Linked DNA regions of Saccharomyces cerevisiae S288C. Changing the gene in region 1 together with any one later gene gives a genetic interaction. Each region holds a gene or a part of one and is shown in the gene's direction. Other genes may lie near its edges.

Region 1 (7,985 bases):
TTACACATAATATTCTTTTGTTAACTTTCACTAACTTCAATTCATTTAGACCTAAATGCTCGAATCTTTCGCATGCTTCTCTCATTTCCATGGGAGATATCAGGCCTGTACCTATACGCATAGATTTGTTGTACATTGCATATAGATCTACCAGAGTTATGATCATATAGTTGGTATCACTGTTCAAATCTTTAAACTCGGACAACGTGAACTCGTAAATTTCTCTCGCAATCTCATCCAAGAACAGCTCTTTATTTAGGAACTTCTCTCTATCAAGTATCAATAGCGGTCTTCTCGTTTTCGGTTCATTCACGGTTGATTCATCCTGTAAGTTCAATGTCTTGGTTTTCATCGTTATGTTGCTATTTTTGTATAGTCTTTCGATGCTGGTAGCCAGCGACATTAGCTTGTTTAGGTCGGTCAACGCATTGTTAAAGAGAATGTCATTGTTCAAAAGCTGGTTTTCTCTAGATTTTTCCAAGCTTGATATGCCAATTCTGCTCAATTTAGTCTCAATAAATGGCACCTCATTGTTGTATTCGTGAGAACTAGCCCCTTTCCTCATGTCTACACCATTTACAGAAACCACATTCTGATTGAAAATATGCTTATTCTTTTCAGTGAGTATATTCTCCAAAGCCCTCTCTGTAGCTTGTGAAAACAATACGCCATCAGATTTGCGGAAACTCAATTGCACGAATTCTGTCGATGATCCTGTCGAGGACGAGGACGATAATGCCGAGTGCGAGCTCTTGTTTCTAGCCAGTGAATTTTTTTCTAGCTCAATATGGACCCTAGAATCATGAAAGTTTAGCCTGTTCAGCTTTGATCGTACTTTGGATGCATTAGGCAATCTGTGGCCGCAAATCTCGCAATTTCCTATTTGAGGATGATTAGCAAAAGTACAGGCGGGGCAAATGTTCTCAGAGTTCACTCCGAACTGATTCTGTGGGTTGGCGTTCGGGTCGATTGCATTAGAACAATTTATAGACGACTTGGTGAGCTCATAGTCCGCTGGCACACCGCAATTGATACAAATGGGTGTAGGTAGAGTGTCTTTAGTGAATTCCCCCTGCGTTTCGTTCGAAACCATACAGATGGGGCAGACCCACGTCGAAACAACGTCGGCACTTGCTGTTTCCGCACTTTTACCAAGTTCATCCTTACTGGAGGGGTCCTTGAAAAACAGGATCAGACGAGGTGATCTGGTCAAGAAGCCAGATGAATAGTTTACATACGCTAGATCGTCCAATTCCAACCCAAGCGAGTTCTGAGTGGGCTTTGCATCGTCGATGTAGATAATTCTTTGTGACGTTAAAAAGATTCTGCCCCTCTGTCGCTGTAGAATCTTAGATTTGCCATGGTAAAGACCTACGGACTGATCGATAAAGATATCTTTTTCACCTTCTCGAAGAAGAGGTTGGCCCGATGACGTAGTTTCCACATAATGCCAGTACTCCATCTTTTGAAAAAAAAAGAATGACTTTCAAAACACACTTCCTGATTCCTAGCCGAGGTCCCCTATTCTATCTTGGATGACCTTTTCTCTGCTTTTTTGTTTTTCAGTCTCCATCTTTTCCAGATGAAACATGTGAAACCCTTTTTCCTCTTCGTTGATCCTAAAAAAAGCGCGTCTGGAAAACAAGGCGAAGCTTCCTCACATGGAAAAGGCTTCTTAATATGTCGCTACGCCTCATTCCCATTGCATACAGAAAGCAAAGTAGTGCGTTTTGCGAACGTCACAGATCAAAAGTTTGGCCATGCATTGTCATTCTTTTTTTCTTACATACACTGCACCAGACATGTCGGTTCCGCCCCGCTAACGGTTAGTCAGCCACACATTGACGTACACTGTGAACAGCCTATTTCTTTCCATGTATCTCAGTGCCCAGCTTATGAGAACTGTCACAGCCTCCCACTTGACCCTCAGAGCCCTCTCCACTCCCCCCCTCTTTCAACATCGCCAGATAGCCGCCGTTGAATGGTGCGGGACAACCCGGCCTGGCCTGGCCAGGCAAAAAAGGACGCAGCACGCCTCGAGCGTTATTTCCAAATCGGGCGTACTATCAGCCAAGCCCAGCTCGGTATTTTTAGCGCTTCTCGCAGGAAAATTGGCTGAGAAGTATATATACGCGAGAATGTTGCTCTTCCATGTCTCAGTAGTCAATGAGTGTCCAGTGGTGTTTCATTCTGGACCAGTTGTTTGGAAGTAGAACTAAAAGAAACTAGATCAAGATCATACAACGCTGCGCAGTAGTGAAACTTGATTAAAGCAATAGAGAACTATTAAGAAAAAAACAAACACATCATCGAAGGACGCTATAAGCATGAGGAATTTTTTCACGTTATTTTTTGCAGCTATATTTTCGCTAGGAGCACTTATATTAGCCATTGTTGCATGCGCAGGATCAACGAAAAATTACAGTCCCATAAATAAAATTTACTGTGCAGAATTGGATCTGTCGCAGATGAAGGTATCGACGGTGCTCCCTTCTTTGAGTTCTGCTACGCTATCTTCGTTGGGCCTGCCCTCATATATAAATATAGGGCTTTGGTCGTACTGTACAGTGGACTCCTCGCATAACATCCAATCATGTTCTTCGCCTCACGGTATCCAGAATTTTAACCTATCGTCATTAGTGTATGACAATATCAACAACAATGAGGCTCTGGAGCTTATGGATTCCGTGGCCAGTGTTGTTTTGCCCGAAAAACTAAAAAGTAAAATGACATACTACAACAATTTGGTCAAGTGTATGTTCATTACCATTCTTATTGGTATTGTCTTGACCTTTGTGAATCTAGTGTTCAACGTATTGCGCTGGATCATCCACATAAGGCCGCTAACGTGGTTTGGTGCCTTTTTTTCATTTTTCGCCTTTGCCGCCCTATTAGTCAGTATAGGTTCGTGTTTGGGCACTTACTCATACATCAAATACATCCTAAAGCATAACTATAGTGATTACGGTATTTCAATGAGCATTGGTAGGAACTACCAGGGTTTGATGTGGGGGGCTGTCGTTGGAGCATTACTGAATTTCATTCTATGGTGTAGCGTGAGATCGAGGCCCACCGTCATCTATGCGAACGCTCCAATTGAGGAAAAACCATTGATTTGAATTTGAAAAAGGCAAGGTTATTAATTAATTTTTGTGTTCCGTTTCATATTAAATATGATTAAAATATATTGTCTATATACAATTCAGAAAATTATAATGAAGAAAATTAAAAGGATGGAGAATTGAAAAAATTTACGGGGTGATGTTGCATGATCTTCTTTTTATTATTTTACCTTGCAAAGTTTTTTTCAGCATCAATGGGGCTTTCGTGTTCTTCAATGATTCTTGAGGTAGTAGAGTCACTTTCTTGAACAGCTTTCTCAGCTTCCACGATGGCAGCTCCCTTTCTGCTGCTCCACCAGCAGTATGCAATGCAGAGAAATACAAGGACGGCAAATACAAATCCAGACCACATTAGGCCATAAAATGGAGAAGAGCCAGAAATAATGACATCGTAATTGTCCTTCTTGGAGCCGGATTTCATCATATTAAGGATGACGCTAAAGATTGTGCTTCCCAACCCGCTGAAAATACATATCCAACAGGAAATAAAGCCCAATGCCAACCATAATTTTTGACTCACCACGGAACGTCTACTTAGTAGCAACAAGAATACCATTAAGAAGAAGGATGTGATTATGCACATTAAGTTCATAGCTAAAGCTGCTTTCACTGCTGGGACATACATGTGTTGTCTGTCTTGTAATTCACCATCTAAATGCAAATCGTCCTTACCGATGTTCAGGGCATCCATATAAGGTTTAAAGTCCGAGCCTTCAATGTTGTTGTAAACAATCGACCGGAAATCCATGTTTTGAACAGCGTGTGACTTGCTACACGAGTACATTGTTCTGTTTAAGTGAGCACGACACATTGTGAAAATGGACAAACGGTATATGACAGGGATGTGTAGATATTCAAGGATAGAAGGAGTCATTTCCTTGAGTTGTTCTGGTGTGATAGTTGTCATGTTTACAGCAGAGTTTAAAATTTTCAACATGGGCATAAATGTAGCGGCATTAGTTTCTGCCCATTTGGTGATATTAACCAGAGAAGAGAAACTTGACACGGGGTCGCTTGACGCAGCTAATAGGCTGAACAAGTATGGAACGTACTTAAGTAATACGGTGTTATTGGCCAATTGGGATTCCAAAGTAGGGATTATGGAAACAACTGTGGATGCGTTAGCACTTGCAGAAAGGATTTCATCAAGTGCCACCAATTGGTTAGTAGAGGAAGCGGCTTCTTTAGAGAGGGCCAAACTTTCGACAGATGTTAGCAGCTCTGTTTGGTTTGTAGTGTAATTCAACAAGTCAGTCAAAGCACCCATGGCAGCTTTAGCGGAAGATGATTGGGTAATGTTTTCGGCAATCATAGTGCTCAATACGGATAATGTTACATTTTGAGATGTAGTTTCATCAAACAGAGTAACAACAGCTTGGACAGCTGGTTTTAAACTCGAAGGAACGAGGGAGCCTAATTGCATAATAGTTTCAGTAGCATTGCCACCTTCCGCAAGACTGGTTTTTAGACTAGAAAACAATGAGGAGACCGTTGAAGTTGGAATGGTAGAGTTCATTATGGTTTCTAACGCATCGCATGTGGCAGTAATGTTCTTGGAACTTGCGAATAACTCGAATACAGGCGACAATTTTGTCTTTTCTTCTGTGGTCATATTATTTAAAGTGATCAAAGACTCAGTAGTGCCTATAGGATTGGTCGAATCCACTAATAGGGTTAGAACAGTATTTTCTAAGGAAGCCGAAGTAGAAGAAGTGTTGGTTGACATAGATGACATCAATGTGCTAAACCCATCCAAGAGTTCGGTTGTGTTTTTAGAGGTAGTCAATAACTCATCAAGAGCGGAGAAGGTCGTGGTAGTAGCGGTATTGGTTCCTAGCAAAGCCATTGGAGCCAACTGTGTCAAAGATGATAATGTGGCTGAAGTGTTAGCAGCATTAGACAACAAGTGCAGTAAAGGAGACAAGGCTTCGGTAGAAGCGATTGCCTTAAGAGCGCCGAAGATGGTATCCACCGTTGTATTTGGAGCGGTTAGAGCAGAACCTAACACAGTCAAAATTGGGCCAACTTGTGGCATAACTTTTGTAACGTTGATTTTTGATATATCAGCATCACCGATATAAATGTTCGTTATTGGCTTATAATTTGAGGTAGAACCCGCAGTTGCAATAATGGTCAACAGAAATGTTGTAAGTGTCAATAAAGCACAAATCGGGAGGAGTATTTTAAAATTCATCGCAATAATTTGACTGTATTACTGAATTTTTATTTTACTGTATCAGCATCGCATCTACAAGCTATTATGAAGTAAATGAAAATCTCAAGGCTTAATGTGAGTAAATGCAGCTAGATTGTCAAAGGTTTATATATTTTGTCGTTCTTTTTACAGGAAAAAAAAATTCTGTGTAGAAGTGTAAGATCTATGATTGCAGCAGCTTGAAAAGCGATAAGTTTGTTGAGGATTTAACAATTTCAACTTTTTTTTTAAGCAGAACAATAGATTGACGTAGTTAAATTTGTCTACTAAGATCTGTAGGCAAGTTTTTTTTTTCCAGGGACGACGCCGTATAGAAAAAAGCAACTAGGGAATTTACCAGGCCATAATGCGGTGGATTCAAGCTAAACGAGTACTGAGGGGAACTTTAATCTTCAAGGCGGTATCCAGGCGGATTTACGAAGCAACTGACGGAGTGCTGCAGGAATTTAAAGGAGAGTTCTGGAGCGCTTAAATGCACCTAAACAGTATCCACGGAACATACTGTACTAAATACACGTCAAACGGGAACATTTCAAAAAAAACTTAATAATATAACTCAGTTTTTTTACATAGTGATAAAAGTGATATATTCAAGTCTTTTTACTATTTGCTAGGCATCCAAACCGTTTTGTTTAGACGTATCACTATTTTAGCATCACTTATGCATTTGTGCCAGAATGGACACTATTACAAACCCCACCGTGCCTCAGCTGAGAAGGTCCCTTACCTAAAGAAAAAGAAAAAGAATTCTCGAAACGAAGGCAAGGCAAAAAAAAAGAATGAAAAGAAAAAAATAGGAACTGTTGAATTTTTTCAACAAAAAAAAAAAGAAAAAAAACGGGTCCTAAATGCGGTGTGTGGGTTATAAGATGCCGCAAATGAAAGAATGCTATTTAGAGTAATCGATTATCATTCTTATTATAAGCTAAGTTGGTCAAGATGACCTGTTTGACCTAAAGACAAGCACTAACGCAGGCACCGCACTAGTACTTAAGTTTTCTTACGTGAAAAGGAAATATGGGTGATATGTGTCTGTTCCACTCATATCTTTTGGTTTCTAATTTTACGTAATCTCTTGTATTTTCTTGAGAGGGTAAATTTTCACGACGCGTCAGACGCTTATATGAGGGACGAAGTTACATATTTGAATGCATTAATCAAGAACAATATTGTTGAGTAAGCGAATAGCTACCATTGTTCGCAGTTCTAGGATCGCTAAACAGAAAAGGTTACTCTCCACGTGTTTAGAGGGCTACCCACAAACCGTCATAAATCATACCTCCTTCTTTGACGAGCGTATTGCGCCGTTCGAATGATTCATTCCGCCAAGAACTAAATGAACTTCAGGTTTGGGTCTTTCCACTTTCTTAACCCAACCATTCGTTTGCGTCCTTTTTGCCCCAACCTTGATCTTAAAAAATTGCAAGAAGAACTTTATTTATCAATTCGCCCGCGAAGTTAAAAAAAACCGATCTTCGCAGGCACTCGTTAGAACTTAGAAACAGTTCCTCTTAGGGCAAGCGCCCTTGTCGTATTTAGCCTTCTTTAAGTTGAGCTGTAACGTTGTTCGAGTCCGAGAAGTATCCTTGACAGGGACGATAACCATCAGCAGGAAAAACGGTATTTTCATTTATATCCTTTCCTCGAGGAGGGCTTGAATTATGCAATCTCTAAATACTATTCAATTCAGAGAGTAGATTTTTGTGGGCAAAGTAGACGTCGCTCTCTTTCAGTATACGTTCTTGAGCTTTCCATTTCAATGAACCGGCAACTAAGTTGGTATCCTTTCATGATCCTGTCGAGTACATTTATAACAATCATGTTGATTGTTCCAGTATCATAGATAAAGCGGTCTCGTGTCGTTATTGATGGTAAAGCGTCAGGTTACGATGCCCTGAAAGGTTACAGTTTAGTTATAAAGTACTATGTAGTGAATGATATGTTAGTACTCTATAGCATGTAACGTCAAGTCAGAGAAGGAATTGATCCAGGGTTTTTCCTTCAAATACTTTCCTTCATCAAAATCGGTGAGTATTTGGCAGGACTTAAACTTCGGTGCTATTGAATCATAGTCTATATCAGATGGTGTGACCTTGAGTTTAGAGGAGTTGTTTCTGTTTTTTCTTTTTCTCTTTGGAATGAATGTTGCAAAACCATCTACATCATGTGCTTTTTTAACTTCTGGCGGAGCGTTAGTCTGCAAGTAATGAACTAGCTTGCTTAAATTAGGATAGTTTTCACAAAGTTTTGCTTTGGTGTATCTATCGGTGTGTGATATCATATTATTTGCCAGCCATAAGTGTGGTCGCTGTGACGATAGTATGTTCTCAGTTAAATCCAAAGGAGCATGGGGAAGGAAATATAATACCGATTCATAATCAATTGCATCGTTCTCTGAAAATTCTTCCTCTATCAGCCATTTGCTTCCTAAACTTTTCAAGTACTGTATCTCTTCTTTAGTAAATATTGGATCATACAGGGAAACAACGACATCCCTTTCATCCTCACTTTTTATATAATCAGTAATCTCTAGGAGAAGAGCGAATTGGTACGTCGCAGGAAAATCCTCCTTGAAATTTCCAATTGCAACACATCGTATTTTCTTAATGTTATTGAGGTGCGGTTGTAAATTTTCAAGTAAATCTGAG
Region 2 (5,159 bases), on another chromosome or scaffold:
CCTAGAGGTACAAATACAAGCCCTGATTAAAAACAAGTATACACAATATGATTTGAGTAACGAATTGATCATATTTGGTTTCAAGCTGCTTATTCAAGACCTGCTAGCGCTATATAATGCTCTCAACGAAGGTATCATAACTCTGCTGGAGTCTTTTTTCGAACTATCTCATCATAATGCAGAGAGAACTCTAGACCTGTACAAGACGTTTGTTGATTTGACCGAGCACGTTGTCAGGTACTTGAAGAGCGGGAAGACTGCGGGCTTGAAAATACCCGTCATCAAGCATATCACTACCAAACTGGTCAGATCGCTAGAAGAACATCTGATAGAGGATGATAAGACGCACAACACTTTTGTGCCCGTTGACAGTTCTCAAGGAAGTGCTGGGGCCGTAGTAGCCAAATCTACTGCACAGGAAAGGTTGGAGCAAATCCGGGAACAAAAAAGGATACTAGAGGCACAATTGAAAAACGAACAAGTAGCGATTTCCCCTGCTCTAACTACTGTCACGGCGGCTCAATCTTACAACCCGTTTGGAACAGACTCTTCTATGCATACTAACATTCCAATGGCTGTGGCTAATCAAACGCAACAGATCGCAAATAACCCATTTGTATCTCAAACTCAGCCACAGGTGATGAATACACCAACCGCTCATACAGAGCCCGCAAATTTAAACGTTCCTGAATATGCAGCGGTCCAACACACAGTGAACTTCAACCCTGTACAAGATGCTGGCGTAAGTGCCCAACAAACGGGGTACTATTCGATTAACAACCATTTAACACCCACATTTACAGGTGCAGGGTTTGGAGGATACTCCGTTTCACAGGATACAACTGCCGCTTCTAATCAACAAGTCTCTCATTCACAAACTGGTTCTAACAACCCGTTCGCATTGCACAACGCCGCGACGATCGCAACAGGGAATCCTGCACACGAAAATGTCTTAAATAACCCATTTTCACGACCAAACTTTGATGAACAAAATACCAATATGCCGCTACAACAACAGATAATAAGTAACCCTTTTCAAAACCAAACGTACAATCAACAACAATTTCAACAACAAAAAATGCCTTTGAGCTCGATCAATAGCGTTATGACAACCCCTACTAGCATGCAGGGATCGATGAATATTCCTCAGCGTTTTGATAAAATGGAATTTCAGGCTCACTACACTCAGAATCATCTCCAACAACAGCAACAACAGCAACAGCAACAACAGCAACAGCAACAACAGCAACCACAACAGGGTTATTATGTGCCTGCAACTGCAGGAGCCAACCCTGTTACAAATATAACTGGGACAGTTCAACCTCAAAATTTCCCTTTCTATCCACAACAGCAACCACAACCGGAACAGTCTCAAACACAGCAACCAGTTTTAGGAAACCAATATGCTAACAACCTCAATTTAATTGATATGTAATATCTAGTATAATCAGGTATGTAAGGGAGTACTCAAGTGCATCTTTGGATAGCTATATATAGTTGTAAGGAAGAGCTATGTAATTTTTGCCATTTTGTACATATTTTGCATTTGTCCTATAGTATGTAATACTTACATCTTACTGTCTTCAATTCCTCCCGCCAACAAAAGATTTCGATAGCGCCGCACCATGGAGTTTATATTGTTATTTCCGAGACGACCTATATAAGGGAAAAGACGAAAACTGGGTATTTGATACTTGTCTAAACTTCAATGGACAAATGATATAAAATACAAACAATGAATAGTAACCGATGCCAAACGAATGAGGTGAATAAATTTATTAGTAGTACAGAAAAGGGGCCTTTTACGGGCAGGGACAATACGCTCTCTTTTAACAAAATCGGGAGCAGACTGAATTCACCACCGATTCTGAAGGATAAAATTGAGCTGAAATTTCTACAACACTCAGAAGATTTGAATCAATCACGGTCCTACGTAAATATTCGTCCTAGAACCTTAGAGGATCAAAGTTACAAATTTGAAGCGCCAAATCTAAATGACAATGAAACTTCTTGGGCCAAGGATTTTAGATATAACTTCCCTAAGAATGTTGAACCGCCCATCGAAAATCAAATCGCGAATCTTAATATAAACAACGGGCTACGGACATCTCAGACAGATTTTCCCTTAGGCTTTTATTCACAGAAAAACTTTAACATTGCTTCCTTCCCTGTGGTTGACCATCAGATATTCAAGACAACAGGTTTAGAACATCCTATCAACAGCCACATTGATTCTTTAATTAATGCTGAATTTTCGGAACTGGAAGCCAGTAGTTTGGAAGAAGATGTCCATACAGAAGAGGAAAATTCAGGTACGAGTCTGGAAGATGAAGAAACTGCCATGAAAGGTTTGGCTTCCGATATAATTGAGTTTTGCGATAATAATAGTGCCAATAAAGATGTAAAAGAAAGACTAAACAGTTCAAAGTTTATGGGGCTGATGGGCAGCATTAGTGATGGTTCTATAGTTTTAAAGAAGGATAACGGTACAGAAAGAAACCTTCAAAAACACGTAGGTTTTTGTTTTCAGAATTCAGGAAACTGGGCTGGTCTTGAGTTCCATGATGTTGAAGACAGAATTGCTTAACGGGCCTTGAAATTTCTTTAATTTAAACCATGAATTTCAGATATATAACACTTTTTAACCACTTTCAAGAGAAAACAGTATTAAATTACATACTGCGTTCACAGCTATACGTAAAAAGAGTGACAAGTGAAGAATAAACGTCATTTTGAAAAAGGAATTAGAAGTCTGTCATTTCAACTGAGTTTTTGACGGAGGAATTATCATTATCGGGTTCTCCAATAAAACTTAGCTTGTTACTACTTCTTTTACTTTTTTTTTCTCGTGTTCGATGTCCACTTTCATCTGTGAGACTATTATTCCCAGCATTGTCTTTCTGGAACTTAGTTGTCGTTTTAAATTTCCTCATGTTTAAACTAGAATCGTCGCCACTATCTTCTGCTTGCCCCCGGTTCGTAATTTTATGTGTACTTTTTTTCTGTTCATGCTGTCTATCGCTTTTATATACAGGATCACATCTGTTATCAGTAATAACATCATTATCGTTTTCTTCTTCTATACCGAGTAATCCGGCCTTGACATCGCTAACAAAGCTCCAAAGCGACCTGGAGACTGATCCTTGCGAAGGAGATTTTTGGCGAGCTCCAGGTGCTTCATTATCGTACTGTTGCGCGGACGACTCGCTATTACTAGTCGGTGTCCCTTCCTGTACCTCAGGCGTACCTGAAAGAGAGTCATCCCAATTCAGAGTTCTTTCAATTTCATGCTGAATGATTTTATCAAACTGATTAAACAGAGCTAATGGTTTGCTCCAAAGTGACTGTTTGGATGAATCTGACGAGTCGTCCCTTTGGCGCCTTTCTTGAATATCTTGCGGAGACACAGATCTTGACTGATTAGTACTTTGATGACCCATGTTCTTTGGTTTACTGACAGAACTAGGAAGGCTGCTGTTACCAGCATTTTCAGTTCGTGATTCCAAAGGTATATTCTGGTAAACCGGTGAAAAAGCCCGGTTTTTAACAGGTGTATTTAGAGAGGGATCCAAATGTTTACTCACTTGCTCCTTGAGTTCATGCAGTTCACGTGCCCGACGAGTATAGTTTTGCTCTTCATGCTGGGTTTGCTTTTTCAAATCTTCAATCTTTTGTTTGCATTCCAGAAGTTCTAACTCTTTTGTAGCGAGAGATTGTAGAAGCGCACTTACATCGACCCCATTTGTTGGTATGGTGGTCGCTATCATACTATTAACCGACTGCGAACTCCCATTTCTAGACCGTCGAAGTCCGCTGGCCATCGCTTGCTCACTAGAAAGTACAGTGGTTGACTCTAATGGGATTCCATAGGATCCCTCAGAATGACTTACTGAAGGTAAGTTGTTTTGAGATTCTGGTGTAGTGGGAACAACCATGGGTTGAATAAGTGATCTTCTCTTGCTCATTGCATTTGGAACTGAGACAGAAGAATGACGAGTTACCACCCTCCTAGCATCTGGCTTGGCTTGTAAGGGATGGTCCTGGTCATTTAATCTGGTAGGCGTCATTAGTCTTTGCGAATGCATGCTTCCCGCACTGGACGTACGATGGTGTTCTAGCCTATATCCATTGGAACTAGCAGAACGAATCTTTCGTCCAGTTTTCCTCACAGGTGACATCGAAATTATACTATTTCGGGTACTGGTGTCCACATCCAAATCCTTCTCATTAGACTCTATAAACTCGTCAAATTTATTCATATCAGTGCCCTAGGAGATAGATTTAATTATCCTCGGATCCATGTAGTGGTAATTGAGAAAAGCACAGTTAGTATTGGCCTTTTTCCTTACCTATTATATTGAACTTTACAACTTGTACCCTTCATCACCTTTGGAATCACGCGGCACGTCTTCTGGGGACTTGGCGACGCGGTTGTTGATAGTAAACTACAAGCAAGCATTCCTTTAAAATACGAAACAATAAGATATAGAAAAGCAACAGGGCTCGTTCTATAAAGTAATTGTTTTGCTTGATTTGTGATACTTACACTTATTAACAAATTCACAGTAATTTTTCAGGAAAAGTTAGAGCCCGTTTGCTTCAATTTGCACCTAGAAAATAACTCAAACATGGCTGGATTCAGCTTCGCCAAGAAATTCACTCACAAGAAACATGGAAAGACGCCTTCTGATGCTTCTATCTCTGACCAATCTAGAGAAGCTTCACTGTCAACTCCTCCAAATGAAAAATTTTTCACAAAACAAGAAACGCCTCAGAAAGGGCGTCAATTTTCACAAGGTTACCATTCTAATGTTAATAAAACTAGTTCACCACCTATGTTTGCCAGAAAACAGGTATCCGAATCAAGGATTCAACCGAGCGCAGTACCACCGCAACAGCGAAATGTCTCAGGACCGTCCACTACTCTCCATAAGCAGCTTTCAAAACAGAGAGAATATACCGTATGGAATAGAATCAAGTTACAGAATTCTCCTTTTCCACGTTATAGACATGTTGCTTCAGCATATGTTACAGACAAGAACCAGATATATGTTATTGGGGGACTTCATGACCAATCTGTGTACGGCGATACATGGATATTAACGGCCTTCGATAATGCCACCAGATTTTCCACTACAACGATAGACATAAGTGAAGCT

What was found. A genetic interaction does not mean that the proteins touch.
Region 2: mutations in YLR415C (region 1) and PEX18 together harm fitness more than expected from each alone (negative genetic interaction), as found in Saccharomyces cerevisiae (2 studies listed by BioGRID).

The regions. Positions count from the first base shown.
Region 1 is NC_001144.5:948,487-956,471, reverse strand, and holds YLR415C (uncharacterized protein), read left to right. Parts: upstream 1-1,874; coding exon 1,875-2,213; downstream 2,214-7,985. Other genes in the region: ESCRT-II subunit protein VPS36, read right to left, coding at 1-1,462; PUN1 (Pun1p), read left to right, coding at 2,328-3,119; INA1 (Ina1p), read right to left, coding at 3,289-5,316; YLR412C-A (uncharacterized protein), read left to right, coding at 5,999-6,205; BER1 (Ber1p), read right to left, coding at 7,280-7,985.
Region 2 is NC_001140.6:416,649-421,807, reverse strand, and holds PEX18 (Pex18p), read left to right. Parts: upstream 1-1,735; coding exon 1,736-2,587; downstream 2,588-5,159. Other genes in the region: YAP1801 (Yap1801p), read left to right, coding at 1-1,435; TDA11 (Tda11p), read right to left, coding at 2,745-4,259; KEL1 (Kel1p), read left to right, coding at 4,629-5,159. UniProt on the Saccharomyces cerevisiae protein: Involved in peroxisome biogenesis and the import of peroxisomal matrix proteins that contain the peroxisomal targeting sequence PTS2. Required for peroxisomal targeting of PEX7 and growth on oleate.